4 linked regions of the Notamacropus eugenii genome follow. The protein of the gene in region 4 interacts with the protein of the main gene of each other region in a pairwise test. Links are inferred from orthologs where the notes say so. Each region holds a gene or a part of one and is shown on either strand. Other genes may lie near its edges.

The links.
Region 1: the proteins of PLEKHF2 (region 4) and UBE2Z interact in binary tests that used the Homo sapiens proteins (3 or more experiments, as listed by UniProt). The two-hybrid records come from large-scale screens. The link is inferred for Notamacropus eugenii from reciprocal best matches to the Homo sapiens genes PLEKHF2 and UBE2Z.
Region 2: the proteins of PLEKHF2 (region 4) and HSPB7 interact in binary tests that used the Homo sapiens proteins (3 or more experiments, as listed by UniProt). The two-hybrid records come from large-scale screens. The link is inferred for Notamacropus eugenii from reciprocal best matches to the Homo sapiens genes PLEKHF2 and HSPB7.
Region 3: the proteins of PLEKHF2 (region 4) and FRMD8 interact in binary tests that used the Homo sapiens proteins (3 or more experiments, as listed by UniProt). The two-hybrid records come from large-scale screens. The link is inferred for Notamacropus eugenii from reciprocal best matches to the Homo sapiens genes PLEKHF2 and FRMD8.

What each region holds. Positions count from the first base shown.
Region 1 is NC_092873.1:352,110,306-352,118,186, reverse strand, and holds the start of UBE2Z (ubiquitin-conjugating enzyme E2 Z), read left to right. Parts: upstream 1-4,878; 5' UTR 4,879-4,941; coding exon 4,942-5,249; intron 5,250-6,822; coding exon 6,823-6,895; intron 6,896-7,881. UniProt on the Homo sapiens protein: Catalyzes the covalent attachment of ubiquitin to other proteins. Specific substrate for UBA6, not charged with ubiquitin by UBE1. May be involved in apoptosis regulation.
Region 2 is NC_092876.1:55,464,854-55,472,348, reverse strand, and holds the start of HSPB7 (heat shock protein beta-7), read left to right. Parts: upstream 1-4,491; 5' UTR 4,492-4,687; coding exon 4,688-4,874; intron 4,875-6,091; coding exon 6,092-6,228; intron 6,229-7,495.
Region 3 is NC_092873.1:18,166,263-18,173,149, forward strand, and holds the start of FRMD8 (FERM domain-containing protein 8), read left to right. Parts: upstream 1-3,879; 5' UTR 3,880-3,981; intron 3,982-4,568; coding exon 4,569-4,653; intron 4,654-6,887. UniProt on the Homo sapiens protein: Promotes the cell surface stability of iRhom1/RHBDF1 and iRhom2/RHBDF2 and prevents their degradation via the endolysosomal pathway. By acting on iRhoms, involved in ADAM17-mediated shedding of TNF, amphiregulin/AREG, HBEGF and TGFA from the cell surface.
Region 4 is NC_092875.1:157,846,290-157,854,270, reverse strand, and holds the start of PLEKHF2 (pleckstrin homology domain-containing family F member 2), read left to right. Parts: upstream 1-4,979; 5' UTR 4,980-5,118; intron 5,119-7,981. UniProt on the Homo sapiens protein: May play a role in early endosome fusion upstream of RAB5, hence regulating receptor trafficking and fluid-phase transport. Enhances cellular sensitivity to TNF-induced apoptosis.

The sequences.
Region 1 (7,881 bases), on a different chromosome or scaffold from region 4:
ATAAAAAACGTCTTTATATGCACCAAGATATTTATGAAAGTTCTAAAAAAAAAAAACTTCAAAATTTTTTAGCTAAAAAATTTTAATTGTGAATTTATGCTGCTTGTCAATGTCTCTTTGTGAACTTTGACCTGTTTTTGTCTGAGTATTTTAAAATATTTAATAGATGCTCTTTTCTTTTTCCTTTTATTGGTATCACTATCACTACCTCCCACACAAAAAAGCCCTCTTCTGTACCCACACAGAAAAGCTCTCTTTTGTAACAACTATAGCCAAGAAAAATAAATCAATATATTGACCATGTTAAAAAATGTAAGTTGCCTTCTCTACCTCTAGCCCACCACCTCTCTGTCAATAGGTAGGAAATATGACTCCTTGTCAGTCTTTGGGAATTAAGCTATGCTTGGTCATTGTGTTTAAATCTTTCACAGTTATTCACTTTCACAATATTGTAGCAGCACTTTTTGTAGTAGCCAAGAACTGGAAATAATGTAGATGTCCAGTGATTGCAGGATGGCTAAGCAAACCGTGGGACACAAATGTAATTTAATGTAATAATACTGAATTGTAATCAACAATGAACATGAATGCAGAGGAGCATGGGAAGATACACATGAACTGTTGCAAAGTGAAGTAAGCAGAACCAGATTATACACAAGGACAACAACTTAAATAGAAGGAATGACAACAAAACAATCTGAATTAAATATTGTGAAATTCTAATAACCAAGCTTGGACCCAAATGAAAATCAATCAATAAAATTCACTATATGCTAGGCAGTGTGCAAAAAGACAAAAGGCAATCCCTGCCCTTGAGGAGTTCAGTCTAACGTGAGGCAACACAGAAGCAACTATGTACGAACAAGTGACATATAGGAAAATTGGAAATAATCAGTAGCAGAAAGGCACTAGATTTAAGAGAGATTGGGGATGGCTTCCTATAGAAGGTGAAGTTTTAGCTGGGACCTGAAGGAAAGGGGAGATGAGGGGAGGCAGCATTCCAGGCATGGGGGACATCCAGTGAAAATGCCCTGAGTGGAGAGATGGAAAGATGGAACAGCAATGAGGTCAATGTCATTAGTTTCAAGAGTATATGGAGGAGGTATAGTGAGTCATAAGAAGACTAGAAAGGCAAGAAGGGGGCAGGTTATGAATGGTTTTGAATGTCAAATAGAAGATTTTCTATTTGATCCTGGAGGTGATAGAAAACCACTGGAGTTTATTGATTGGTGGTGACTTGGTCAGACCTGCGCTTTAGGGACATCATTTTGACAACTAAGTAGAGGATGGATCGGGGTGGGGAGATACTTGTGGCAGGGAAACCAACCAGCAAGCTATGGAAATAATCTGGGCATAGGACCTGAACCAGGGTGGTATCAGTGTCAGCAGGGAGAGAAGGAGGTAGCAGTGTCAGAGTTATATGGAAGAAATGTTACAAAGGTAAAATCTACAAGCCATGGCAACAGACTAGATATGGGGGGTAAGAGAGTGGGAGGAGTTGAAGGTGACACCCAGGTTTGGATCCTGGTTTACATCCTTTTAATTATTTTCTCTTAATGTATAAAAATCTCTTTTCTCCTGTATTTGGGGTTCAGTGCCAAGCTGAGGAGGCCTGGTCCTGATTCATGCAATTGGCATGCATTATTAAATAAGTTGATATGTTCAGAAGCTTAAACTTTGTTTCCTTGGTTATTTCAGATTATACCCATCACATAACTTTGAGGAGAGCAGTTTTAGCTAAAGATTGAATGAGGAGATTGGAAGCCTGATTGTAGAAAGAGTTGAGAGCGAGAGAAGTAGAGGCATCCGTTGTAGAAGGCGTTCTCAATGAATTTAGCTACAAAAGGCAAGAGAGGCATAGGGCAATAGTGGGGATGGATGGATCAAATGAAAGTTTTTTGAGGATGGGGGAGACATGGGCATATTTGTAGGTAATAGGGAAGGTATCAGTAGATAGGGAGAGTTTGGAGATAAAAATGAGAGAGTAAGGATAAGGGAGGCAATCTACTGGAAACAGGATGGAATGGGATCACTTATGCATTTAGAAGTATAAGCCTTGGCAAGGAAAAATGCTAGTTTTTCATGTGAAACAGGGGTGAAGGAGGAGATAGTGGCAGAAAGCATCTGAGTAATATGAGATAAGGAGGAAGAGGAGGAGAGAAGAGTGAGCTCTTGGTCAATGTCCTCAATGTTTTTCAGTAAAATATGAGGCGAGGTTTTCAGCTAAGAAGATTTAGGGAGGAAGAGTAATGAGAGATTTAAGAAGAAATGAAAAGGTTTGGAAAAGCCACTGTGGTGAGTGGGATAGTGAGTTAATCAGGGAAGAGGAAAAGGATTGCCTTGCAGCATTAAGGACCCAGCTGAAGTTATGTAACAAATTTGTAGCGGACTTAGTAAGGCATTGTGATGTTCTCCACCTTTGTTCAGCAGCCTATGTGTAAGAGTGAAAGCAGGACTTGGAAGAGGGAGCTCAATCTTAGATTTGGTTGAGCCAAGACTGGCCCCCTGCATGGGGGGGCAAAGAACCCAAGGAAAGAGGACAACATAGAGTTGAACTTGTTCACCAAGGGGTGAAGATGGGGAAAGCAGGAGAGTGAAGTGCTAGTTCAGGGGTGATCACCTGGTAGAGCAGTAAGGATGGAAGGATTGGAGCTCACAGTGTAGATGAGGATCTATGAGAAGGCACTTTCCTGCCCCCTCCTTATAAAAGTAGAGGATAATGGGTATGAACCTTACAATCCTTTTTGGTCACCTTCGCTAAAATTTTTTTTTCTATTTTTTATTATAAGAATCATAGATTTCGAGCCTGAAGGGAACTTAGATGTCCCTTCTAACCTTAGGGTTTTTTTTTTATTGGAAGCAATCAGGGTTAGGTGACTTTCCCAGGGTCATACAACTAGTAAGTATGTGATCAAGCCCAAGTTTTCCCAGATGTCAAGATCAGAGCTATATTCAATACACCAGGATGCCTATCAAAGGAAGGGGAGGATAATATTGGGAAAATGAAGGTAATGTAAAAAAAAAAATCAACAAAATTTTATTTTAATTTTTATAAATATTTACATAAGGATAAGAAATATGCCTGATCAGGGACTAGGAGGTTATCCTTTAAGGCAGAGGAGTACAGAGGCCTTGTAGGGGGTTACCTGAGTTTTGTCTTTTTATAGAGGATATTGGGAGTAGTGAAATGGAAGGTAGTAACAGAGACCCTTGGACTCCTGAGCAGTGGCTTGGTATTCGGAGCAGGGGCCCTAGCCAGGGATTTCTTTAACATCAGACAAAGTTTAAGCAAGTGTGTCTAAGCTTGTGTCTTAAGAATTTTCACTGGTGTCATTCACCGGTGAACTGTGGCTCTAGGAAGAGGTAACCTTTTATATTTACCCTTTAGTCAGGTTTCCAAGGAGTTACAGTAGGCTGTACCTAAGAAAGGTCAGAAAAGGATTTAGCTCCCGGCTAAACTAATCCGGTTCTTAAAGGGCTGGGCAGCTGTTTCAGAGGCTTGCCAGGAGCCCCAAAAGACTTCACCCAGTGAAATGGCTGTCAACTCTGAATTCCAGTAGGCTTTTTCTTGAGAATTTCCCTGAGATGTTCAAGCCTTCCCATAGAAACCCTGGCTTGGAGGAGTCCTCTAGAGAGCCAACCGGAATGGTAGGGAGAATGGACAGACTCCTAAAAAGCTTGGATTCAAGTTGCAGGGAAGACCCCAGGCCAAGGAGAAATCAAAGGTGGACAGGATGTGAGCTACTACATTTTCATTCAGCAGTTGAGAAACAGTCCTTACTAGGTGTCAGTTCTACTTACTCAGGGTTCTGGTAGCTACTAAGTTTTTCTTCCAAGAATGTGTGGGGAAGGGTCCCACTGAACAATCCACCTGCCTTTACCCAGTCAACCTTGTCCCCAGTGGCACGCATTCAAGATACCTAGAGCTGGGAGCCTGTGGAATAAAAAGAACACTTCCTGGAGTCAGAAGACTAAGATTTGGAGTCAGAAGATTCAAATCCAGAATTCCAGCCTCTGATACCAAGAACCAGTTATCTTCCAGAGTCTTATTTACTTAACCGAGTCTCAGTAGTTCTTTAGAAGAATAAGACTGGTAACTTCCTTTACCTGAGAGGGTGATAGTGAAGACAGCCAGCCCTTTGTATACAAATATGAATTACTATTTTTAAGAGAGCACACTGATGAGCTAACGTGGAGGGAGGGTTACAAAGAGAAGAGAGGAGGTACTGAGTAAGGGTCCCCAGAAATCCCACCCACAGTCCTACCCTGCAGACAACTAGATCTTTATCCTGCCATAGTAGATAAGAGTGCATCCCACTTAGAGATACCTAAGAGAGATGGGGTGTGGGGGGTGGTGGTGGTGAAGTGGGATATAAATCTCCAATCCTCCCCCATTCTCTCTTCCGATCCCCATTAAAAATATCTTAGAATCATAAGATTATAATTATTAGATCATAAATATCATAAGAATTGGAAGGGGCCTTAGAGATAATTTGACCCAATCGCCCCATTTTACAGATATGGAAACTGAGATCCAGAAGGGTGCCAAAGATTGGTCTTCCTTTTGGGGAAAGCTGGAGGGCTAGCTCTGGTCTGCAGGCATTTTCCTTCCACTTCAATGGATACAAAGGTGCTGATCCCTCCTTCCCCCTCCCAGGGACTGCATTCCCGGGTCTTAATCCCGGGAGAGCCAAAGAAGCGCCCCAGCCCAGCTCGGAGCCCTCCGTCCCTCCGCCCCTCCCGTCCTGGAGGACCTCGGGTGGACACTCTTGCCCCGTGCTTCTCGCTGGTTGGGGCTGGGCGGAGTCTGTGGGACCCGGCCGGGGAAGCGGAGGGTGGGACACTCTGGCCCGGCTCTCGGTGGTGTGGGGGAGGAGGCGGAGGGAGCGGCCGCTCTGGCCGGCGGACTCGTTGGCGTGGAGTCCCGGAAGCGGAGCGGCGATGGCGGAGAGTCCGACCGAGGAGGCGGCGACTGCCGGGGCCGAGGCAGCGGGGACCCCGGGCCCGGGCGCGGGCGGCGGCGGCGGCGGCTTCGGGCCGCACTTCCTACCCGACGTGTGGGCGGCGGCGGCGGCGGCGGGCGGTACCGGCGGGCCAGGGGGAGGCCTGGCCCCACTGCCCGGGCTCCCGCCCTCGGCCGCTGCCCACGGGGCCGCGCTGCTCAGTCACTCGGCCTTCTGGGACCCGACGCTGAGCTCGGACTGGGACAGCGAGCGCGCCGCGCCGCAGTGCCTGCTGCGGATCAAGCGGTGAGTGCGGCCGAGCGAGGGCCCGCCCGGCCCGGCCCGCCGCAGCCGCCGCTCCTCGCCCGCCCGGCCCGGCCCGGCCCCGGCCCCGGCCCGGGGGCCTCCCGAGCCCCTCGCCCAGGCTCTCCCATTTCCGATCCTCCCTTTTTGTCCTCCCCCCTTCGTTCTCAGCCCCCTCCGCAAATTCTCCCATTTCTTCTCCCTCTCTCCAAAATCTCCCCTTTTTCCTTCCTGCCCCCCCAAATCTTTCTCCAGCCCTAACTTTTCCTTCATTTCTTCTCTCCAACATCCCTCCCTCCTACTCGCCCTTTCTTTTCTTCTAACCTTCCCCTCTTCTCCACAACATCCTTCCCTTGCCCCGTTCCCTCTTCGCCACCCCATGCTGTCTTCCCTTCGCCCCTCTTTCTCCTCAAGTCTTCTCCCCCCTCCTTTCTGTCCCTTAGCCATCCCCCTACCCCATCCCGCACTTTTCTTTTTTCCTGGATCTTCAATTCCCTTACAGCAGGTATATACCACAGAAAGGGACTACAACCTTTGTTCCTGGAGGACAGCCTCCGGTCCTGAAACTTTTTTGTCCCGTTAAACGATTGCTTCTGCCCTCCTCTTTCCCTGGCCAGCTCTAGCCCAGTTATCCAGAAATCCCTAGGCTCGGTACCCTGTAAGTTGATGCCGCATAAAGACCTTTTATTCTACGGATGAAAATGTCCCTCCCAACCTTAGAAATTCATTTTCCTTTCCCAACCTTCGTAACTTCTTAATCCAACCCCCAGCTACCTTTTTTTATATTTCTGCGCCCTAGCTTTCTGTACTGTTTGGACTAAATCTTTATTTTAGTGATTTCTGGTTCCTTCCCAGTTAGGCATGTTTCACCGGGGATGTTGCGTCTTGGCATTAACCTCAACTGCCCCTAGTTCTGGAATGAGGCCCAAGGAGCCACTTGTAGAAGTCTTTGTATTTAATCTTCCTAGTGTATAACTCCCGGTAACCTCCAAAAAGCAAATTCCTCGTCCCCTCCCCCCCATTCCTTCCTAAAGATAAATCAGTGTGTTTCATTACATTGGGCTGTTTCTTGCACAAACTTTTGTCAAACCTCATCCCTCACCCCACGTCCTAGGAAGATTCTCTTCTACACATTTTTGTTGTAAAGTAAGCAGTCATATACTTGTGTATCTTTTGAATTAGTTGCATTTCGTTACATTTGAATTTGCTTTTTTTAGTTGGTCATTTTATTTACAATTCGTCCTGAATTTTTTTGCATCTGGAAATATTTGGTAGTGTGCAGTAAATGAATTGTCATGTTAATAAGGTGTTTTTCACACTGATTTCTGATACCATTGTGATATCCCATTTTCCTTCTTCTCACCTCCCTCTCATGAAATAGTGCCCCTTCTGATAACACTTGAATTTCTGCTTCCTTCCCCTGTATCCAACCCGAGAATATCTGGCCTGTGAGCCAATGCAAAAACACTTGTGGTACCAAGCACTTAGCTCTGACTCCTCTACCATTGATATCAGCAACTGCTTTGCACAAGGGCTTTCCCACCTTTACCCCTACTTCACCTTTGTTGTTATACAGGGACATCATGTCCATTTATAAGGAGCCTCCACCCGGAATGTTTGTTGTGCCTGATCCCCTTGACATGACTAAGGTAGGTGATTCCATGGGGGCATGAGTTTAGTTTTCTTTTCCCTTGACCTTCAGATAGATAAATATTGTTGTCTATCAAATCCAGGGAGAATTGGACACCAGTCTCTGCCTGGATTATGGCTGTGTTTAGGGTTTTGACTAGGTTACCATTAATAATGCCTTGTTTGGCTCCTGCAACATCAAGAGCAGGAAATATTTATTTAGTCTTCTGCTGGATACAGCATAATGTACTAGGTATTGGGGGCTGCAAAAGTTAAAATAGCCCCTGTTCTGAAGAAAGCACCCTGAAACCTTACTGAGGCTAAGGTCTAAACCTAAAATCCCCAAACCCTTAGACACTTTGGCTTCTCTGCTATCCCTAGCCCCACCCTTGGAAGTAGATTCACACTTAAACCTTTGTTTGGCAGAAATGAGTTGCTTAAAGAGCACACCTCTGCTTTCATATTGCCTGAAGCAAAAATTCAGCCTGTAAATTGGTAGTATGGGCCTAGTTACTTTGAGTAAGCTTGACTTTTAAATTTATTTTTTTGTCTTTCATGTGGTTGAAAATGTTTTTACTGGCATACTTTATCTCTAGTAAAATGCCAGAGACATTAGCTACATAGCCCTTTAGGTCCCAGAATTTGTGTCCTGTTCACACCAGCTGAGTTAGCTATACACAGTGATCCTAGGGGTGCAGTTTGGGGGATCACTTGGGCAGTGTGTGGGTTCAGTTCTAAGGGGCATTGTGTTAAAAGTGTTCCTCCCCTTGATTTCCAAATTCTCAGCAGATGCCTTTGAACGTTAATAAGATGTCTAATTTTTCTAGTCCTAACAGTGTATGAATCTGATATAAATTTAAGTTCTCACATCCAGGGAAGGAGAAATTGGCCATTAATTATGACTGTAGATTATAGAAATCCCCATTTCTGAAAATTGAAGGTCCTTCGAAAACCTAGTTGTAGAATGCTGCTTTATAGTCTTCCTCTTTGCAAACTCCCCTCCCCC
Region 2 (7,495 bases), on a different chromosome or scaffold from region 4:
AGGGGTGGAGTGGGGGTGCTTTCTCATTTCTCTTCCTTAGTGCCACAGTAGTAGATGGAGCATCAGGCCTGGAGTTGGGAAGACTCATCTTCCTGAGTACAAATCTGGCCTCAGACATTTATTAGCTGTGTGACCCTGGGCAAGTCACTTAACCTTGTTTACTTCAATTCTTCATCAGTAAAATGAGCTAGAGAAGAAAATGGCAAACTTTTCCAGTATCCCTGCCAAAAAGTCCCCAAATGGAGTCATGAAGAGTCAGACATGACTGAAATGACTGAACAACATGTCCTTTATAATGTTGCAACCTTTACTTTGGATTATGTATGTGTGTTGTTTTTCCTGTTTATTGTTGCCGTCGTTATGTATGTTGTTTCTTTGTTCTTTCTGACTTTACTCTGTATCAATTCATGTAGATCTTACCATGTGTCTCTCTATTACGTTCATTTCATTATTTCTTATAGCTCAGTCATATTTCATTATCTTCACGTACAATTTGTTACTTAGTCAGTCTCCAGTCAATAGGCATCTACTTTGTTTCTAATTCTTTATTATCACAAAAAAGAGTTTTTTTAAATAAATATTTTGGTGTATGTAGGGATTTTCTTTTTATCAATGGCCCTCTCAAGGTATTAACCTACTTACAGAACTGCTTGATCAAAGTTTATGGGCATTTTAGTCACTTTATTTGCATGATTCCAATATTGCTTTCCAAAATGGTTGTATGCATTTGCAACTCCATCAACAATGCATTGGTGTGCCTCTCTTACCACAAACCCTCAAACATTGACTTGACTATTCACATCCTTTGTTATCCTTTCCAGTTTGCAGGATGTGAGCTGAAACCCATAGTTTTGATTTTCATTCCTCTTATTATTAGTGATTAAGAGCACTCTTTCATGTAGTTGTTAATATTTTGTAATTCTTTTGAGAAATGTTTGTTGATATCTTTTGACCATTGATTTATTGAAGGAATGACTTTTAGTGACATATATGCACATGTACGTACCTATATATGTGTGTATAGGGAATGTTATGTGTATATTATGTAGATTACACACAGATATAACTATCTCTTGGATACCAGACTCTTATCAGAGAAATTTGATACAAAGATTTTTCCCCCTTTTGACTGCTTTGCTTTTTATTCTAGGTGCATTAATTTTGTCTGTTCAAAGCTTTTCAGTTTCGTGTAAAATCAAAGTTATCTATTTTATCCTTTGTAGTTGCCTCATGTCCCTTGTTCAGTTGAGAATACACCTCCTGACTGTATCGATGAGAGGTACCTGATTTGTTTCTTTTCTAATTTTTTATGGTATGATCTTTAATATTATAGTTGTGTACCTATTTCAAATTTATTGTGAAACAAGGCATAAGGTATTAGTCTAAATTCAATTTCTGTCAGATTCCTTTCCAGTTTTTTCCAGCAGTTTTCATCGAATGGAAAATTCTTTTTCCCCCCCAAAATGGGTATTTGATTCCCATTGTTTCCGGTCCCCCTTTTTAAAGTGTCTTCCACTAATCTATCTCTCTGTTTTTGAACCAATTTCAGATAGCTTTGATGACTTGTTTTTAATATACTTTGAGATTTGAACATACTCTTCTTCCTTCATCCCTATCACTTTTCATAATTTCTCTAGATATTCTAGATATTTTATTTTTACAAATGAATTTCATTAGTATTTTACTAAATTCTGTAAAGTATCCCTTTGGAAATTCAATTGGCTTAGCATTAAAATTGAAAACGAACTTTGGTGGCATTGTCATTTTTACTATATTGGTACATATATCTGGCCACTGGACCTAAACAGTTCCAGAAAAGAAAGCAAGGCTAGTGACTCTGCATAGCCCTCCTCCATTTAAATCCAATTCACTTGCATGTCATGGCCTCACCTCCCTGGTGTCATGATCTTCTTCAAGAACAAACAACAACAACATTAGTACAATCCAACCATGTCTACTGATATTCCTCCAGTTCCTTAAGTTATTCTTTATTTCTTTAAAGAACACTTTGTAATTAAACCTATACAATCTTTTGTGGGCTTTGGTGCATGGATCCCCAAGTTTTTATGCATCTTGTAGCTATTTTCCTTTCTTATTTCTCCTTGGATTTTGTAATTATCATATAGAAATGCAGCAGATTTTTGAAAATTTTTTTGGTAGTCTGCAACTTTGCCAAACCTATTAATTGTCTGAATTAGTTTTGTTGCTTGTTATCTAGGGATTTTCAAGTAAACAATGTCATCAGCAAGTGAGGATAGCTTTATCTCCTCTTTATCTATCTTTACGCCTTCATTTTTTTCTCTTACCTTATTGCCATGACTATCATTTTCAGAACTATAGCAAATAATAGTGGGGAGAGTTAGCATCCTTGCTTTACTTCCGTAATTACTGGAAAAGATTCTAGTGTATCCCCATTGCATATGATGCTTACTTTTGGTTGAAATTCATTTTTTTCTTGATTACTCCTAACTTCCCCATTTCTGTCAAGGGTATCATCCTCATCCTTCCAGTCATTCCAGTTAGGAACTTAAGAGTCATTCTGACTCTTCATTCATTACACCCTCCAGATCAGCTGCCAAGTCTTGGTTAATTCTACCTTCATAACTTATAACTATTCCTAATTTTTTTCTACTCCCACATCCTGATTAAAGTCCTCAGTACTTTTCACCTGCACTATTGCAACAGTTATGCCAACTGGTTTTCAGGTAGTCAGTCCTTTCCCTCTCCAATCTAACTTTACAGAACTGCCAAATTAATATTCCTGAAGTGTAGGTCTGGCCATGTTATTCCCCTCCTCAAAAAATTTCAGTGACTTCTTGTTGCCTCCCATTTTACTTTTTCAAGCCCCCTCCTCCCTAGCTCCCACCTCACTTTCAGGCAGATTATACATTTTGATAGCTGTGTGAAGGATAGGTCAGAGAGGGAAGAGACTGGAGGCAGAGAGAAGAGTTAAAAGTCTGCTGCAAAAGTCCAGATGAGAGATTACAAGAGCCTGAATTAGGATGAAGAGAAAAGGGTAGATGCAAGAAATTTTGCCAAAGTAAAAAAAAAACAAAGACTTGACAGTTGATTGGATATGAGGGATGAGAGAGAAGAAAGGGTAAAGGATAACTGAAGTTATAATCCTGGGATACTGAAAGGATTCCTTAACAGAAATCAGGAAGTTAGGAAGAGGGTACGGATTTGTAAGAAAGTTGAGTTCTGTTTTGGACATGTTGACCTTAAAATGCCCATAAGTGGTTAGCGATGGCTGGATAGATCTGCATAGAAAAAAAGAGTCCAGTCCATGGAGAGATAAGATCAACAGGAGGCAGTATAGAAAAGAAAGGAAGGAGAACCCAGAATAGAACCCTGGAATATATCCATGCCTAAGGGGTGAAATGAGGATGGTAATTCTGTAAAGGAAGCTGAGAAGGAACAGATAGACAGGTAGACCAGGTAATATCAAGGGAGAGCAGGGTCATAAAAACTCAGAAAAGGAGTATCTAGGAGCAGGAGAGGGGCAATGGTGTCACATGCTCCAGAGAGGTCAAGGAAGATAAGACAGAAATGACCATTTATCTTTAGAAAAAGCAAAGCCATTAATAATAATGAGATTATGTTTGTTAAGTGATGAGGTGTCATGCCAGATTGTAATGATCCGAGAAGTGAGTATCAGGTGAGAAAATGGAGGCAAACTTTTTTTTTTCTAGTTGTTTGGCTATCCCTATAGGATAGCAACTGATGGGAGTCCTCTAATCTCAGGGGAGAACACTATCCTTGCCCTCAGGGAGCCCTAAGGCTCATGGCGGAAACACAGTCCCTAACCTTGGGGAGCCCTCAGTCTAAGGGGAGAGATATAGTCCCTGCCCCCAAGAATCCCCTCAAGTCTTAAAGGGGAAAGTCCTTGACTTTAGGGAACCTGAGTGATGGTGGGAGATAATCTTAGGTCTGATGGGTTAGGTCATATTTCCAGTCACAAATCAACAAAAGGAAATACCTGGTACACCCTGTGTCTGAAAGTGCTGAAGGGACTACCTCATTTCCATCTCCTCCTTCTCTCCCTCCATCTCAGTCTCTCTTTCCCTTCTCTTTCTTCTCCAGTTCCTCTCCTCTCCCTTTTTCTTCTCTCTCTCCTCCCCCTCTCTCCCTCCTACTTCTCCTTCTCCCTTTCCTAAACAGACCCTCATGGAAGGTTGCTCCTGGTCCAGTACCTCCATCCCTCCTATTTCCCATTCTCCCTCTTCCTTTCCTTCTCTCCCTCCTCCTCATCCTCCTCTTTCTTGTCATCCTAAACAAGTCCCCAGTGCCATCACATAAACACATCCTTTGATTCCTCCATCTTCCCTTCTGCCCCTTTCACAGCCTCCTCCTGTTATCAGCAGGACTGGAATGCTTCTGGATGAGCTCAGCTTCAGTCCCTGCTTTGGTTTGTCTGGAATGTCAGCACCAACATCTCAGCGGGAAAACCTTCTACCCCCCACGTCCCCACCCAGCAGCCCGCCAACCCCCCTCCTCCATCCTGCTACTGCCTGCCAGAAACCTATATTTAGCCAGTGGACAAGAGGGCTGGCCCAGAGCCTGGGGGGCGGCTGAGGGCCTTATAAAGCCCCAATCACCAGGGCCCCAAGCACTCCCTTAGACCAGCCCGCCTGTCCTGCTGGGTCTCCTTGCGGTTTCTGGGACAGAGCCCTCCCCCACCTAGTGAATGAGCCACAAGACCTCCTCTACCTTCCGAGCGGAACACAGTTTCCACTCTTCCTCATCTTCTTCATCCTCCTCAGCCTCCCATAACCCCCCTACTCGGGACCTGCCCATGGAGAAGACTCTCAGCTTGTTTTCTGAGGATTTTGGCAGCTTCATGCGGCCCCACACTGAGCCTTTGGGCTTTCCAGGCAAGTTGGGATAGAAGGGAGAGAAGACAGGCAATCTGGGGAGCGTAGTCTCTTTGGCACAGCTGGGAGGGAGACAGGGGCATACGGGTGTGCCTGAATCCAGGACTCTATTGGTTCCAAAAGCCTGTTGTAGCCAATTCCTCTGGCAGCAGGTGCTGTGGGAGCTTGGGTGGGGCAGGTGTGCTCACAAGAGTAGAAGTGGACAAAGGGGAAAGCCTTGCCTACAAAGGATCGGTGTGGATACAACAGATAAGTGTAGTCCTGAGAATCAGCTGTGACCCAGCAGCATAAATGGGATTCTTTGTTATTGTTTAGCCAAAGTCAGAAGACCTTGTTTGAATTCCTGGTTCTGTTGATTTCTGCGTTGCCTTGGGCAAGTCACTTAACCTCTTGGGCCTCAGTTTCCTCACCTGTAAAATGAGAAGGTTGGACTAGATGACCTCTAAAGCCTCTTCCATCTCTAACCCTATGATCAGTTCTGGCCTAGAGGGAACTCAGGGAAATGAGTGGGAATTTGAAGTGAAGAAAGCATCCCAACTGACTAGGAAGGAACCTGGGATCCTAGATCCAGAGCTAGAAGGAACCTCAGAAGCCATCAGGACCAATTCCCTCATTTCACAGATGAGGAAACTGAGACCCAGTTTAGGTGACTTGCTCAAGGTCACACAGATGGCAGAAAGAGATTCAAAGCCGGGTGCTCAGGATTCCAAAGTATTGATTCCTTGGAATGATGGGAGCTTGGGGGGGGAGGTGTTCAGAGAATACTCACTGCTGCTAGTCTGAAGGTGGCCTGGCTGGGGTGGGAGGGATGGAGAGATGTATCAGGTTTTAGAGGTAGAGGAAAAACTAGGAAAGGAGAAGATGGGGAGGGGCTACAGCTGAGACATGTGGGGCCCAGGACTGGAGGAGCTGTCTCCTGTAATCACTCTGGAATGGGAAAAAACCCAGATGCCATGGTGTAATGGAAAAAGCGCTGGATTGGGAGTCAGAAAGAGGACCTGAGTTCTAATCAGGCAAGTCCTTCAGCTCTGTGCCTCAGTTTCTTCATCTGTAAAATGAAGGGGCTGCATTAGATCATCTCCAAAGTCTCTTCCAGCTCTAGCATTCTATTGATCATCTAATGGGTATTTGGGAAAAGAAAGGCAGAATCAGCCTCCTCACACACAGGACTGAAAATCAGTTCATCTCCTATTCCCCATCCCCAACCCCTGCCACAGCAGTTCGATCTGGGGGTACAGGCAACATCAAGACCCTGGGAGATTCCTACCAGTTTGCAGTGGACGTGAGTGACTTTTCTCCAGAAGACATCATCGTCACCACATCCAACAACCAGATTGAGGTTCGGGCTGAGAAGGTGAGTAGCATTCCATCCCAATTAGATTTGAGGATCCCATCCATCCCTCCTGACCCAGTCGAGTCTGTTCTCTTCCTTTGGGATCTCCCCAGCTCCCTGGACAAGATTGGCAAAGAGAAGTGGTTAGGAAAACTCAAATGGGATTAGGAGAAGCAGAAGAGGAGAGAAATAAGGTGAAGCAGGGGCAGAAGGAGATTGGGGGCTGGGGAGAAGGGGGGAGGGCAATAGGATGCAAGGCAGCATGTAACTCACTATGACTAAGCTTGTTCTGAGAGAAGAGATGAGAAAATGAACATTCTTTCTTTGCAGAGATGAGGGACTATGGGTCTGTAATAATGCATACAGTCAGACTCAGTCCATGTGTTGGTTAGTTCCTCTGAAATGCTATTTTCTCTCCTTTTTGATTCTTTGTTGCAAAAGAATATCAGTCTGGGGAGGGGAGGGGAAAGGGACACATTTGGAAATGAAGCCCACATAAAAACAAAACGTGTCAACACCTTTTTTAAGGGGAAGTATAACAAGGGTTAAGGAGATGGAAGATGAGGGAAATGGGAAATAAGAAGCAAAGACTGGATGGGAGATATGCTTGGGAAGGACAGAGAGGGGACAGATCCCGATGGAGACAGGAAGGGAGTGGGTACCAGCCAGCCTCCAGCTCTCTTGGAGAGCTGAGAGACCCACTTTCTCAGGACTCGTAAGCTCCCTGGATCTTGGGTGACCCCACAACCTATCCCTGACCAGCCCTTGAAGCCTCTAAGGTTTGGGGGATGAAAGAAAACATTAGGCAGGCTACTTGAGGCAGTTCCGGCCCCAGGGACCTAACTAAGGTTTTCCATGCCTTACTGCTCATTTCTCAGTAGCAGTCTCTGAAGGGTGGGTGGTGGGGTGGAGGTTGGGGGGGGTGGGGTTGGGGGTGGGGGGTGGGGGAGAATGCTCTAGAAGGAAGAAACATCATATTGGTAGCCCTACTCTTTATGACCCCTTCTTTGGAGGAACTGGAAGGAGATCAACACTTCTGCCCTGGCCTCCTAAGGACACAACAAATCTGTCCACAACCTATCCCTGAATGAACAAGCATTTATTAAGACTTTACTAGATGCTCAAATAATAATAGTGATAACTCATATTTGCATAATTCTTTAAAGTTTGCAAATTCTTTCCTTGTAAAGAAAGGTAAGGGCTGTGAGAGATAGGTGGTATAAATGTCATTATAACCGTTTTACTGAGAAGGAAACTGAGCCTTAGAGAGGGAAAATGATTTACCCAA
Region 3 (6,887 bases), on a different chromosome or scaffold from region 4:
ACCATCCAGGTTGTAAGGGACAGAATCAGGCCATCCAGCTTCTTCTAATGGACTCCAGCTCTCCACCTGCCATCCCTTGCCCTCACCACACATCAACCCACCTTCTCTTCTAATCAAGGGGTTTACGCAGAAGGAAATGCAAACTAGTCATTTCATGAAGGAGGGCATTAGTAGCTAGGAGAAGCCAGGGCAGCTTCCTAGAGGAGGTGGCCCTGGAGCTGAGCTTCCAAGGAAGAGAAAGGTTCGAGAAGGGAGTTGTGAGGGATGTGGAGAGAGATGAAACCCTGGGAATGTGGAATAGCAAAAAGGCCAATTTGACCTGAATGAAGAATGGGCGAAGGAGAGACACTCGGGATTCCTCTGTGAGGTCTGCTTGTGTTTCAGCACAGAGTGACCTGGTCAGATATGTGCTTAAGAACAGCAGGGATGGATGAATCGTGATAGGATAGAGACCTAGATGTGGATTCGGGAAGACCAGAGTCCACGGTCTGTCTGGTTTACTGTGTGACTGTGATCAAATCACAGTGAGCCATTTATATCTGATACAAAAAGGGCATGAAGGATTATACCTATAGAATAAGACCTCCCCTGCCCCCAAGAATGTTATGAGACTGAAATGAGCCAATGTGGATAAACTGCTGGGAAAAACTAAAAGCAACTTTATGAACATGAGCTGGGAATACTATTATTGTCCTACGAAGCCCTGGAGGACACTGTCTTCCCCATCATCACAGGCTCCACGGAGGTCTTATCCCCTTCACCTGGTACACACTGGGAAGGGAGGGAAGTTAGGTCTCCATCAGAACTCTGCTGAATGCTTGAACTGGCCCTGAGAACCAGAGCACTGGCTGAATGGGGAAGTTAGAAGACCCAGGTTCGAATTCTGACTCTTCCACTTACTAGCTGGGATTCTGGGTGAATTGTTTAGTCTCTTTGGGCCTCTTACCTCATCTATAAAATGACGGAGTTGGACTCGATCAAGGGTTTTTGACCTGGGACCCCTGAACTTGTGAAAATAATTAAAACACTTCAAATATAATAGGTCTCCTCGGTAATCCTACACAGTCTGTATGTATATTACATATATATGTATACATATATATGCATTTAAAAACATGATTCTGAGAAAGGCTTCTCCAAGCTACCAGAGGAGTCCATGACACAAACAAGTTACAAACCCTAGGACTAGATGGTCTCTGGGGTCCTGGGGTCCAGCCCTGCCCTCACCAGTTCCTCCCTGCTTACACCCCCCCCCCCCACTCCCCCTTAGGACAGTGAGTCTTTAAGACAGAAGGACAAACAAGAAGGAACAAAGCTCTCGTATTCATGGGTAGAAGAATGGGCCCACTTCTAAACCTTCTCCTAATCCCCAACCCCGAGGGTTCTCCTTCATAGAGCTTTATTCCCACTAAGGGAGCTGCTGCCTCTTCTTAGTTAAAGGCTGGTATCTAGGACTTTCCCACGCTTGGCTTCCCTTGGGGTTGACTGACTTCATCCTGCCTCTGAAGACACCACTTACCTCACAGCTTGTTTGGTGAAGTAGCTCAGTGTCTACACTGAGATCTCTCAAGCTGGTAGGGAGCTGAGAACAAAGACCAGGATCCTCCAACCCCTTGGTATTTCCTCAGGGCCCACCCATCCACTAGGGGAAGCTAGTAGACAGAACAGCTTGTACTGTGGAAGGAGGACAGAGGTTCATCTAATGCAGCCGGTAGCTTCCAGGCAGGAGTGACTCGGTCTCTTGCCCCATGTTTCCAAGATTCCTGTTTCTTGACCATCAATATGCTGGAACAATTCAGATCCTTCCTGAACAGCTAAAGAGGTCCTTACATCACATGTGGGGAAACAGGAACATGGAACAGGAACAGAAATGACATGGGCTTGCCTGTTCGTCTTCTCCCAGTTGACAGACGCTTGCTTTCTTGTTTCTAGTTATCAAGGAAAGGGCTGCTCTGAATACCTTGGTGCATGTGCGGACTGTCTGTTTTTAAACTTCCGAAGTTCAGTAGTAGTCAATGAATAAATCAATATTTATTAAGGGCTTTCTTTGCTTTGAACAAATCTTTGGACCCGGACAATCACTAGGTCATAAGGTATTAACAGTTGGGTGATTTTTCTCACACAATTAAAAATTATTTCCCATAATGATGATACTGATGCACTATATTCAGATATCTGCCTTCCCAGAGCTCTTCAGCATTGCTGTCTTTGATCATCTTTCCTATCTTGAGAGGTATGAAGTGAAATTTCAGATTAACTTAAATTTTTCTTATTTTTAGTGTCTTGGAGGTCTTTCATATGGTGGGTGATGGCATGCAATTCTTTGGAAAACCATTCATCTCCTTTGACTTCTTATCCCTTTGCTCTCATCTATGCTTTTTTTTTTAATCCTATGTGAGTCTTGACCATATCTTCTCAGAAATCTTCCATGGAAGATCTACCCAATGCATTAGAAGTCTTCCTCTAGGTCTTTCAGCATCTTGTGGCTGTTCAAGCATAATGTGGGTTATGCATCTCTCACCCTAGCCCTCATGGGTACATCAGTTCATCTTCATTTCTGATCATCAGCCAGGAAATGTATGCCTTTTGTACAACTACCTGTGCCTAAGTCATATGGCAATATAACTGGTTATATGTTACATCCTACATATTTCTTACCATACATCTTTTGGGTCACCCATAATTCAATTCTTTGGAGATTCTGCTTTTCTATGATTTGCATCCCCAGAATATTCATGTTAAGATTTAGTTGTGTTTATCTGTCGGAGGCAGTTTGGGATTGTGAAAGCATTGTGTAATTTCTGAAAAGCAATCCAGACTACTCCCGTCCTCTCCTTCAGCTCTGGCCCTAGCTCATTCACCATTTGCAGTATCTTTCCAAGCCTCCCAGAGTCACCCAGCTAGTCAAGGAGATATCAGTCAAAGTCCTACCTAAACAATGACCCATTGTATACTCTCACTGATGTGGGTGCTCCTTCTAGCTTTATGTAAACAGGGCTTGGCTAATACTTGTCCATGTCCTTCAAAGAGTTGGACACAAGGTGGATAGGTCTTTGGGTAGGCTTCCTTGCCTTCTCCTGATATTGCTGGGGCACTGGGGGAGCCCATCAGGCAACTCTCACCCTTGCCCCATGACCAGCTCATCTGACTCTGAGGTGATAGATTCCTTCGGTGAGATCCTTGACTCTGGCTCCTCTTTGGCATTCGTGGTCCTACCTTGTAGCCTGGCCACTCTATGCCTCTTCATTGTCTTCTATGTGATACTTGAGAGCCTGCAGTGTTACAGGACTTGCAGCCCTGGAGCGAGTCATTCCGTGGCAAACCTGCCTGGCCCCTGCCATGAATGGTGCTTTGGCCATCCAGCAGGCCAAGGCCAGGACATCTGACTCCCAGGCCCCATAGTTGGGCTTCACCATGCTCCTTCACCTGGACACCAGGGAACGGCAGCTCAGGGAGGGAACGCAGGCAGCTGATAAATATTCCTTGGGCTCCAATAACTGCAGTTCTTCAGCCTTCTGATGTTTCATTACTGACCCCTTTGGGGTTTTCTTGGAAGAGATCCTGGAGTGGTTTACCATTTCCTTCTCCAGCTCATTTAAAAGATGAAGAAACTGAGGCAAACAGGGTGAAGTGACTTGTCCAGGGTCACACAGCTCTATCACACTCAGGCGCTCTAGCGACTGCAACACAGGTGCTGAGAAAACCCAGAACGAAAAAGAAAGCGCTCCTGGTCCAGTGGAGTTCTAACAGGCTCCAGACCAAAGACAGCACTCCAACACCCAAAGTGCCCCGCGGGCAGAACCACGTGGGAGGCCTAAGGGGGTGGGGCCCAACATTCTCGAAGGCGCCAGAGAGATGCGCATGCGCCACATCTCTGACCTCCTATTGGCTCTCTCGGGCCGAGGGGGCGGGAACCGTGGGGCTTGGCGCTTCCTGCTCCAGTGCCTTCCGTATACCCGAAGCCGCCCGGTCCAATTTGGGGTGAGATTCCGGGGCCAGAGCGGGTGGGGGAGACCGTCCTGGGGCGGGGGCCCTCGCCCCGCAGCTTCTTGGTGTCGGAGCTGGCTCCCCCCTGCCCTCTCCGCCTCCGCCTAGCCCTGACATCCCTGCGCGACCCTCCCTCTGGTCCCCCCCGCCCCGCTCTCCAAAGCCTCGCTCTGACTCCCGGCCCCCACCACCACCCCCCCCCGCCCCGGGTCCTCAGCCTCGCTCCGGTCCCGCTCCCCCCCCCCCCGCCCCCTCCTCAGCCTCGCTCCGGTCCCGCTCCTACCCCCGCCCCCGTCCTCACCCCCCCCCTCAGCCCGGCCCCCCTCCATCCTCCCCAAAGGCTCTTTGAGAGCCCCCCAGCCTGGCATTGACCCTCCTTCCCCCAGCCCCCTCCCTGCCACTTCTGCCCCCCCATAACTCGGGAAGTAGCTCCCGAGGGGGGGCCAGGAAGCCCCGGCCCGAATGTGGCCCCGGCCCGTGGGTGCAGCCCCTCCCCGCGGTGGCAGTTGTCAGCGCTCAGCAGTGCCCGGCCCGCAGTAGGCACCACACGGTGCCGCTCATCCTGGGCCCTCTCTCTGCAGATGGACGGAGGCGAGGCGGGGTCGGGGCCCCCGGGGCCGGCGGAGCGCTCCCACCGCAGCAGCGTGTCCTCCGTGGGAGCCCGAGGTGGGTTCTCGGGGAGCTGCCTGGGTGGGAGGAGGGCGGGCATGGGAGCTGGTGCCCGGCGCGGCCCCTCCGGCTGGACGGGAAAGTGTGTGAAGGGAGGGCCGGAAGGGTCAGCCCTGCCCCAGGGATTTCACCAGGGTACCCGTGGGGGGGGATTGGAAGGGGCAGAGACGGGAGGGGCCAGTCACCGAGGGGTCACTGGGGGTGGGGGGCCAAGCCCTGAAGAGGAGGGCCATGGGGGAGAGGCCACCCACCTGGCCGGGGCTGGGCAGGGGTGTCCAGTGTCCAGCATCGGATTCACCTTGTTGGGCAGGCCTGGAGCTCAGGAGAGGTCAGGGCGCAGACCCAGGAGCCTTCTGCGTGGGGATGGAACCCACAGAAAGGAAGCAGGAGAGTGTCTTGGGGTGAGGGACTGAGAGCTGGCCTAGAAGGTGAGAGGAGAGCAGGGGGGCTCCAGAGGGTGAAGGATGAGAAGAGGACAGCAGGGCTGTAACTTTGGAGAGAGCAGCAGGTTGAGCGGAGAGGAGGCAGAGGCCGGAGCCTGGCGATCTGCTGGGAAAAGAGAGACCAGGGAGTGAGTTTGGGGGGTGAGAGGGGGGCTAGTGGCATGGCACTTGGGGCCATGTGTTTGCGCAGTGTCTCCCCCATTAGACAGTAAGCTCCTTGAAGGTAAGGCCTGTCATTTACCACTTTTTGTATCCCTGGGGCTTAGCACAGGGCTTGGCACATTACTATGTTTCATGATATTTATTTCATGAATGTGTTTCATGAATATTTATTGATTGACCTAAATTTATGTCCTGCCTTAGACTTTTAATGACTGTGTCTGTCACTTCACCTCTGCTTGCCTCAGTTTCTCTATGTATAATGGGTATATAGAGCACCTCTTTCCCAGGGTGGCTGTGAGAATCAAGTGAGAAAACATGTAAAACACTTGGGAAACCTTCAGACACTGTCAGTGAATAGTTGGATGAGATTTTAGAAGTCCAATTTGGGAGCATCTTCCAGGCTGACCCTGGTCATCTCTACGTAGAGGCCCTAAATCGCTTTACAAAGCTGGGCTTGTCCCCCTTTTACAGGAGAAGTTGAGTCATCACAAGACTCAGCATTTGGGGCGCTGGGACTGGCTTTCCTCCTTCCTCCTCCATCTCCCCAGCCAGCTCTCTGGAGCCCCCTTTGTTTTCCTCTCCTGGTGGTGCTTTGGATGCCTCTGCTGGCTTGTGCCTTTGCTCCTTCCCTGACCTTTGTGTAAAAAGATGGCTTTCTCTGAGGGGACCTTCCTTCCCTGACCCTCCCGGCCTTGCCAAGGTTTTCTTCCCTTCATGGCCTAGCAGGTGGTTTTTAGTGGGAGTAATCCTAGGGTCAGAAGGGGCCTTCAAGACCATTTAGCTCCTTATTCTGTGGAGAGACCTGTGGAGAGCTGAAGGACTGACCCAATCACACAAGTAGTGGATGACAAAAGCAGAGTTTGATCCCAGATCCCTGAGATGCCAGGCAGGGGAGTGGCTCCATCCACGGTCTCCCAGGGCCCTCTGTGAGCTGACCTGGTGGTCAGACACTCCACATTTGGCCAGGATTGACAGACAGGGGCTGTGCCCAGGCCTTAAATGTCTGCCCCTCCCCAGACCCCTGCTCTTCCCTGCCAGTCGCTCTGCTTGGTGAGCGCTTTAGCCTCCCCACGGATGAACCCCAAGTAGAGTATTAGCCTGACTTGGAATCCCATCTCTGGCTGTTAAGTAATAGCTGCCTTCTGATGGGCCATGCTCTAGGCTAGGCCTGAGGACCCCCAGAAATGAAATGGAATACTTGAGGGGGAGGAGGGAGTTATCTCTGCAAAGGGCTATGGACTGGCTGATTTTGTGGCAGATGAACATCTGTCTGCCAGTCACTGTCCCTGGCCTCCAGATGTGCATTTCCATTCTTCTGTTCCTTCCCTCTCAGCCTGTCTGCCTCCAGCTCATTGTCTCCACTCATAATCCAGGCCCTGGTAACCCCTCACCTGGCATCGAGTCTCTGTCCTCTCTACCCTCTACACCACTGACCAAGGCACAGGTCCAACCATAGACCCTGTAGTTTGACTCCCTTCCGCCAAACTGGACTCTTTACTGATCCCTCAATTTGGTGCCATCTCCCATCTCCACATGACCCTGGAATGCCCTCCCTCCTCCCCTCTGGCTTTTAGAATCCCTAGCTTCCTTCATGACTCAGCTCAGGGGCCATTTCCTTTTCTGAAT
Region 4 (7,981 bases):
CAGAGCTGAATAGAAAATGTAACTTTCAAACACAAGAATCAGGAGAAGCATGAAAAGGTAAACAGGAAGGAGAAATCATAAGGAACTTACTAAAGTTGAATGTTTACATTCCTACATGGAAAGACAATATTTGTAACTCTTGAAACTTTTCTCAGTATTTGGGTAGTTGGAGAGATTATACACACACAGACACACACACACAGATATATAGATAGAGGGCACAGAGTGAGTTGAATAGGAAGGGATGATACCTAAAAAAATAAAATTAAGGGGTGAGAGAGGAATATATTGGGAGCAGAAAGGGAGAAATGGGGCAAATTATCTCTCATAAAAGAGGCAAGAAAAGGCTTTTTCAATGGAGGGGAAATGGGAGGAGGTGAGAGGGAAAAAGTGAAGCTTACTCTTATCACACTTGGTTTAAAGAGGGAATAACATGCACACTCAATTTGGTATGAAAATCTATCTTACACTACAGGAAAGTAGAGGAGAAGGGGATAAATGGGGTTGGGGGATGATAGATGGGAGGGCAAATGGGAGGAGGGAGTAATTAGAAGCAAATACTTTTGGGGAGGAACAAGGTTAAAAGAGAGAATAAATGGAAGGCAGGATAGGATCGAGGGAAATATAGTTAGACTTACACAACATGACGATTATGGAAGTCTTTTGCAAAGCTGTACATGTATAGCCTATATCGAATTGCCTGCCTTCACAGTGGGGATGGGTAGGGAAGTAGGAAGGGAGAAAAGTTGGAACTGAAAGTTTTAGGAATGAATGTTGAGAATTGTTTTTGCATGCAAATGGGAAATAAGAAATATAGATAATGGGATATTGAAATCTATCTTGCCCTACAAGACAAGACAGAAGATGAGGATAAGGGAAGGGAGAGGTGTGATAGAAGGGAGGGCAGATTGGGGAAGGGGTAATCAGAATGCACGGCATTTTGGGGTGAGGGAGGGGAGAGATGGGGAGACAATTTGGAACTCAAAATTTTGTGGAAAGGAATGTTGAAAACTAAAAATAATGAACATTAAAAAAAAGAAAAAGAAAAAAGAAAGAATTCACTGATCACCTCCTGAAAGAGATTCCAAAAGGAAAACTCCTAGGAATATTGTAGCCAAATTCCAGAGTTCCCAGGTCAAGGAGAAAATATTACCAGTAGTCAGAAATAAACAATTCAAGTATTGTGGAAATTCAATCTGGATAACATAGCAGCTTCTACAGTAAGTGATCAAAGGGCTTGGAATATGATGTTCCAGAGGTCAAAAAAAGCTAGGATTAAAACCAAGAAACATCTACCCAGAAAAACTGAGTGTAGTACTTCAGGGGAAAAAACAGAATTTCAATGAAATAGAGGAGTTCTTATTTGTATCCTTAGTGCTTTGTATAGTGTTTATGAAATGGAACTGAATCTCAAACTTTACATGTCCAGACCAAAACTCATTATTTTCCCCAAACCTACTCTTCCTAACTTCCTTAGTTCTATAAGTAGTTCCGTTATCCAGCTTGAAAACCTTGGAAGTACCTTTGGTTTTTCAGTTTCCCTCACACCTGATATCCCATTAGTGTGGCCCATGCTGGAGTTAGGAAGAACTGAGTTCAAATCTGACCTCAGACACTAACTTATATGATCCTGGGTAAATCACTAACTTCTGCTTATCTCTGATTCCTCATCTGCAAAATAGGGATAATAATAGCACTTACCTCCCAGGGTTGTTGTAAAGATCAAATGATAATTATAAAGTACATAGCACAGTGCCTGGCACACAGTAAATACCACAAACATTATCTCTTCTTTTGATTATTCTCATTATGCCTTGTTGATTCTACCTCCATAGCATCTTGGATGTATCTCCTCTCCACTTACACTTATGGTTCCATGGACTATTTTGATAGCCTCCTAACTAGTCTTGCTTCCAATCTCTCTCTGTTACTACCCCATTAGCCACAAAGCTGCCAAACTGATATTTCTAAACCATAAGTCTGATGGTTTCAATCCAATGCTGAAGAAACTCTTGTGGTTCCCTCTTGACTCTAGGATAAAATACAAAGCCCTTGACATTTCGACTCTACCCTACCTCTTACTTTACATTAATCCCTTCACATACTTTAGATTCAGATCAAACTGGCCTATTCATTACTTGAACACTTTGATTTATGCCAGGAACTCTACCCTTATTCTAAATCTTGGAGTCCTTAGTGGCTTTAAAGGCTCAGCCTGTGCCACCCCCTAGCCCACATAGCCAGATTCCTCTGAGTGCTACTGTCCTTTCCCCCACCAATTGCTTTGTTTTTAGTAAGTCAGTCAACAAACATTTCATGCTTATTATGTGCCTAGCACTGCGCTGAGTGATGGAAATGCAAATAAAACCAGAGTCCCTGCTTCTCAAGGAGTGTTCCAATAGAGGAAGACAACACATAAAAGGGAGCTGGAACGGGAGAAGAAGGAATCCCGGGATGCATGGTAGAAAATGTCCAGTGGATGTGAGTGCAGCCTGAAGAGGGGATGAAGACATTTTTGGCCTGAATCTCTTCTTTATATTGGTGGTTCTGAGAGGAACTGGCCAATCAGCAGATGAGGACATAGGGATGGAGGCTGCTTCTAGTGTGAAGAGGTTTCTATGGCCTGCAGTGGTGAGTCAGTGATGCAGTACATTCTGTATTTATTGCTGAGTACGTCTTGTTTCCTTCAAGAAAATATAAGCTTTTCAAGGCGAGGTTCTGTTCCATTTTTGTCTTTATATGCACAGTGTCTGGCTCGGAGTAAATGCTTAATAAATGTTATTGAATGAATTAATGAAGTTAATTGTATATATTTTAGTTTCTCCGGCTCAATAGTAAATTCCTTGAGGTATTTTTATGTATTTCCTTGGTATTTACCTATTACAGTGGAGCTCAGTCAAAGCTTGTTGAATGAATCAACTCAGTTCCTAAATGGTTTAACAATGAATAATACAAATGGCATTATATTTTTCGGGTGAGGAAAAGAGGTTAGTTGAGACCAGAAAACATTTTATAAGATTTACGACTGCTTTGAAGCAGCGTGGCTGTATCCTGGATGGAGATCATACTGGAGGAAGACCTGAATTCAAACACAACTCTGATTGATTCTTGAAGAGGACCAAAATGACACCATCATGATAAAGTCAAGTTTCTGTGGCTGATCAGACCAATACTAGCTGGGAACGCTCTACCACAGATATCCCGTGTGAATATTTGGGGTGGATACTCCAAATTTGCACATCCTATGTTTCCTTTGAGTTACTTCAATTCTGCTTTGCTCATGCAGCACAGCACCCTTTCTGGTGCGGGCATACCATGCTGAGCGCTCCTGTGCCAGTGTCTCCCATGTCCCACAATCAATTCCAGTTCACACTTGAGAGTGTCCTTGTATCACCAACGTTACAGAACAAGGGCTGATATGCATTGGTAGAAGTTTTTCCCCAAGGAGGTCCCTCCCTAATACAGGTGAAATGAAAGGTGGGGGCACAAGTCAATTATTTAAATATAACGCCTGGTTTTTCTCCAATCCCTTCATTTTACAGATAAGAAAAGTGAGGCCAAGACTAAGTGACTCACTTAAGGCCACAGAGGTAAGTAGCAGAGTTAGAATTTGAACCCAGGCCTTTCTCCCTCCATATCCAGACCACTTTCCACTTAACTTTGTCATTTCACTGAATCAGCAAATGGAAAAGGCCCTAAAAGGGCCCGCTCCCATCTCTGGATCGCCCATTAATGTGGAGAAAGGAGAAGAAATGACCAAGGCATGTGAGAACCTCTTTCTACAAGACCTTTGCAGGAGTCAATACCTTCCTTTCCTTCTGCAGGCCAATATTTTTCATTTGGGGGAACACCTAAGGGCAAGGAGGTGGCACAGTATGCAGGGCACCTGGCCTGGAGGCAGAAGACCTGAGTTCAGATTCAGCCAAAGACACTTACTAGCTGTGTGACCCCATCTCAGGTTCCCCATCTATAGAATGAGCTGTAGAAGGAAATGGCAAACCACTCCAGTATCTCTGCCAAGAAAGCCCCGTGGGCCACAACAGCCCAGGAACTGATTTGGCAGACAAACAGATGAGGACCCAGAGAAAGAAAGGCTAACCCACGTGCCCAAAGGCACCAGGTTCCATAAACAGCGAGCAGGTCCGACCTGTGACCAGGTAGGCATTTATGTGTGCCAGGCACCCCTCGGGCACAGCACGCCGCCCAGGGCGCAGGCTTTCCTTTCTTGCCTCCCCTTTTCAAAGAGAACGTATCCTGGTACTAACCATCCTTTCCGCAGCGCTTTAATACCTCATTGTATCCCCCTACCAGCCTTGGAAGGTAGGAGCTATTATGATCGGTCCCGGGTTTTACAAAGGAGGAAACTGAGGAAGGGTTGACGCGCGGCCCGCCGCGCCGCAGCCAGAAGGTGCCCGAGACAGGACTCGATCTCCAGGCTTCCGGGCGGCGGGCGCCGCGGCTCCATGAAGTGCCCACTGTGTGCCAGGGTCTGTGGCGCACTAGGCCTGGGCCCCACGCTCGGCCAGGGCACCTTCTACTATCGCTTTTACAGGCGGTACCAGGAGACCCACCGGCACACCACCTACGTTAGGAAGAAAGGCACAAGCCCCGCCCCAAATGGCGTCGGGACCCTCCCTTCCTCGCTCTCGTCCAACCCCACCCTTTGCAGGCCTAGGGGTGGGCGGGGACTCCGCGGCTCGCCCCGCCCCCCGCGCCTCGAGGGCGGGGTGGGTGTGCTCTGAAGTTGTCGCGCACGCGCCGCTGTGGAGGAGGCGGTTGAGGCCGTAGTTGACTGGAGAAGGAGGTGGCGGCGGCGGCGGCGGCGGGGGGCGGGGGAGTCTTGGGAGAGGCTGTGAAGAGTCACCTGTGAACGAAGGGCCGCCCGCTGCGCTCCTGGCTCGGCGGGTCCGGATCGGGGTCGGCTTCGAGCGGGGGCCCGGGCGGCGGCTGCGGCGCCTCCTCCTCCTCCGCGGAAGCCCCTCGCACCGTCGGAGAAGGGCTCGCGCTGCTCCCGGGGGAGGGCGGCCGGGCGGGGACGCCGCCAGCCGCCGGCCGCTCTCAGCCCCTGCTACCGGGAAGCTTTCGAGCCTCGCTGACTGCCGCCGGGCGTCCGGCCGGGTAGGTGCCTCCGGCGGCCGCGAAGAGAAACTTTCCGAGCTCTTCCTCCGGCGCGGGGAGCCGTGGTCCTCCCCCCTCCCGGGCGGCGGCGGCGGCGGTGTCGGCCGACGCCATGTTGGGGTCTGGGGAAAACGGGGCTCCCGGCTCCCTCGCCGCGCCTCGGGTCGGGCGCGCGGGAGCCCTGCCTGTCGTGGGGCCGGGGACCACGGGCCGAGGGGAGGGGGTCGGCCACCGAGGCTTCCGCCCTCCCTAACCCACCTCGGCGCCTCGGGTCCGGCCCCGGACCTCCGGCTCCCCGCGGTGGAGGCCCGAGCGCGCGCCCCGGGACCCGAGGCCGGGGAGCCGATCTCAGCCGGGTCGGAAAGAAGTGGCCCCGGCGTGGCCGGGGCGGGGGGGCGGACGCCTCCGTCCAGGAGTCGGCTCGTTGGCGCCCCGGGGTCTCTCCGAGGCCGATGGTGGTTCCCCGACTTGATTTCTTTGGAGGCTTTTAAAACTCAGGGTGTTGTTTGCCAGGCTCTGCCCTATTCCTGTTGTACGTTTGACTGTAGAGGAGCGTACAGATTGCGATTAACCAGGGACATTACCTGTATATTTTTGCTGCATATTATTGCAAATTACGTTAAAATGATAGTTGGGTTTTTTCTTATACAGTCGGAGATAGCCTAAAGACATTTAGACAAAAAAATCAGCATGTGTAGACCTGTCGTCCTCGAAATAAAGTGAAGCGAGTTAAACACCGACAAGTAATTTTTCACTAGTTCTGGGAGCTGCGTGTGTACCGCATTCCTAGTTCAGTATATTTGCCCCTGTTGTGGCCTTTGGTCTCTTTATAGGGAGTTGAGGTTATTCAGCATTACGAAACCCTGGGTTAATTTTTCCTTCGGAAGGCGCTGACAACGATGGGATAAAACTATATTAAACATTACCTTTGTATTAAACGATACTTACCATCAGTCACCAATTTGCTTAAAAATAAAAAAAAACCCAACTGAAATAGGATATTTAAATAGGGTAATAACACTTAAGGATTTAAGTATCCTTAGAAATAATCCCTAAGAAACAAGTGGTCATAGAGACATGGAAAGTAGGGGAAGAAGCCATCTGGATCTGGTCCAACTCCTCATTTTACAGATGAAGAAGCTGACCTGGGAAGGTTGCAGCTTGCCCAAAGTCTCAAAGACGGAAGGCAGAATTTTAATTTAGGTCCTCTAATTCCATAACCATTGCTCTTTCCATTGTTCTACACAACCTGATGTACTGAATGAAAATTTTTTTAAGGCATCATTTTGATCAGAAATGTGTTGCAGTTCACCAGAGTTTTGAGAATGAAATTGTTTGCTCTTTTTTCGTGTATGTGTTATCTTTAACTGAATCTTAGTATCTCACAGTAGTTATATTTAGAAGGTTGTGGAATGAAATGATTGACCTTTGAAACTCTTGTCACTCTGTGTGTTAAATACACTTAATAGTTTTTTCCCTTTTCACTCTGTCCAATTGCTTCAAGATTTGTGTCCACAGTAGTATGAAAATCAGCTACCAAGTATTAGAGCCCCTTCTTTAAATGCAGACCCTTTTCCTAAGATGCTCAGTTGAAAGACCAAAGGTAGGATGCCAGATCCTGGAGTGAAATGATTGAGAACTTTTAAAAAACCTAATTACATGAATTAGTATGTCAATAGGGCATAGCCACAATGGCATTTCTTAATCAAGTCCTGATAGTATTTGTGTCCCTCTGTCTTTTCCATGAAATGGATGAAATCAAAGCTAAAAGAGGGCCATCAGTGATGAATACCAGGAGTCTGAATGGTGATGTCCTTACTAAGTACAGCTCAGTTTTAAAGAGTTAAATACAAATATTCACACTAACTTGAAAAAAATTGGGCAATGACTGGGACAAGGCCTGTAATGCCATGCTTTCTAATGAATAAGATTGTTTTTGTATTACTGCTGTAAATCCATATTTTTTTGTATAGATAACAGGCTGAACTTTACTATTATTATTGTTGAGGACTAGAAGAGACCTTTGATTTCATTGATATCATGAACTCCTGTGTGAGAAAATGCCTTCTCTTAAAGCGGGTAGACACCTTCTCTGAAACATAAGAGTATAATAGAGTTGCCTAGATTCACAAAGTAAGTGTGTTAGAGACAGAATTTATATCCAGGTATTCTTGGCTTCAAGACTGACTATCTCTTCTTCTGTCTCTCTTTACCAGTATTGGAAATGAATAAATCAGACATACATACATAGATTTTTGACCATGTGACCCACTGTTGAAAAAACAAAACAACTGAGGACATCTCTGCTCTAGGACTTGATAGATTCTTCATCCTATAGAATGTGCTTCCATTTGTTAACCATATTTTACCTTTTCACAGCCTTACTGAAAACCCATCTTTCCTGATTGAAATCAATTCTCCCTAAACGTGTTTTAGTTTACTTATTAATCCTCATCTCCTTGAACATAGGAGATATATCTTGTCTGTATGAGGAATCCTTAATACTGAATACTATGAACTCAGTGAAATACCATTAGCTTTCTTCCAAAGTTGTTTTAAATGCATAGACATACTCAGTCTATTTGGAAACTTTCAGAAGACTAATTTGGAATTTCTTTGGATGACTTGGTGATTCAATATTAAATTGCAGTTACTTAAATATTTGTAGAAGTCTTGTAGGTATCAAGGAAGGTGTGGTTACTTAAACTCAACTCTACACCACTAACAAGGGAAATAGCGGATCTCCATAATGATTGTATAGACATCCCTCACTAAATTTGCCCTAGCCAACTTCATTTCATAATTCTATACTTAGGAAATAATCAACCTAACAGTGTTGCTATAACGGAGACATCAGATAATC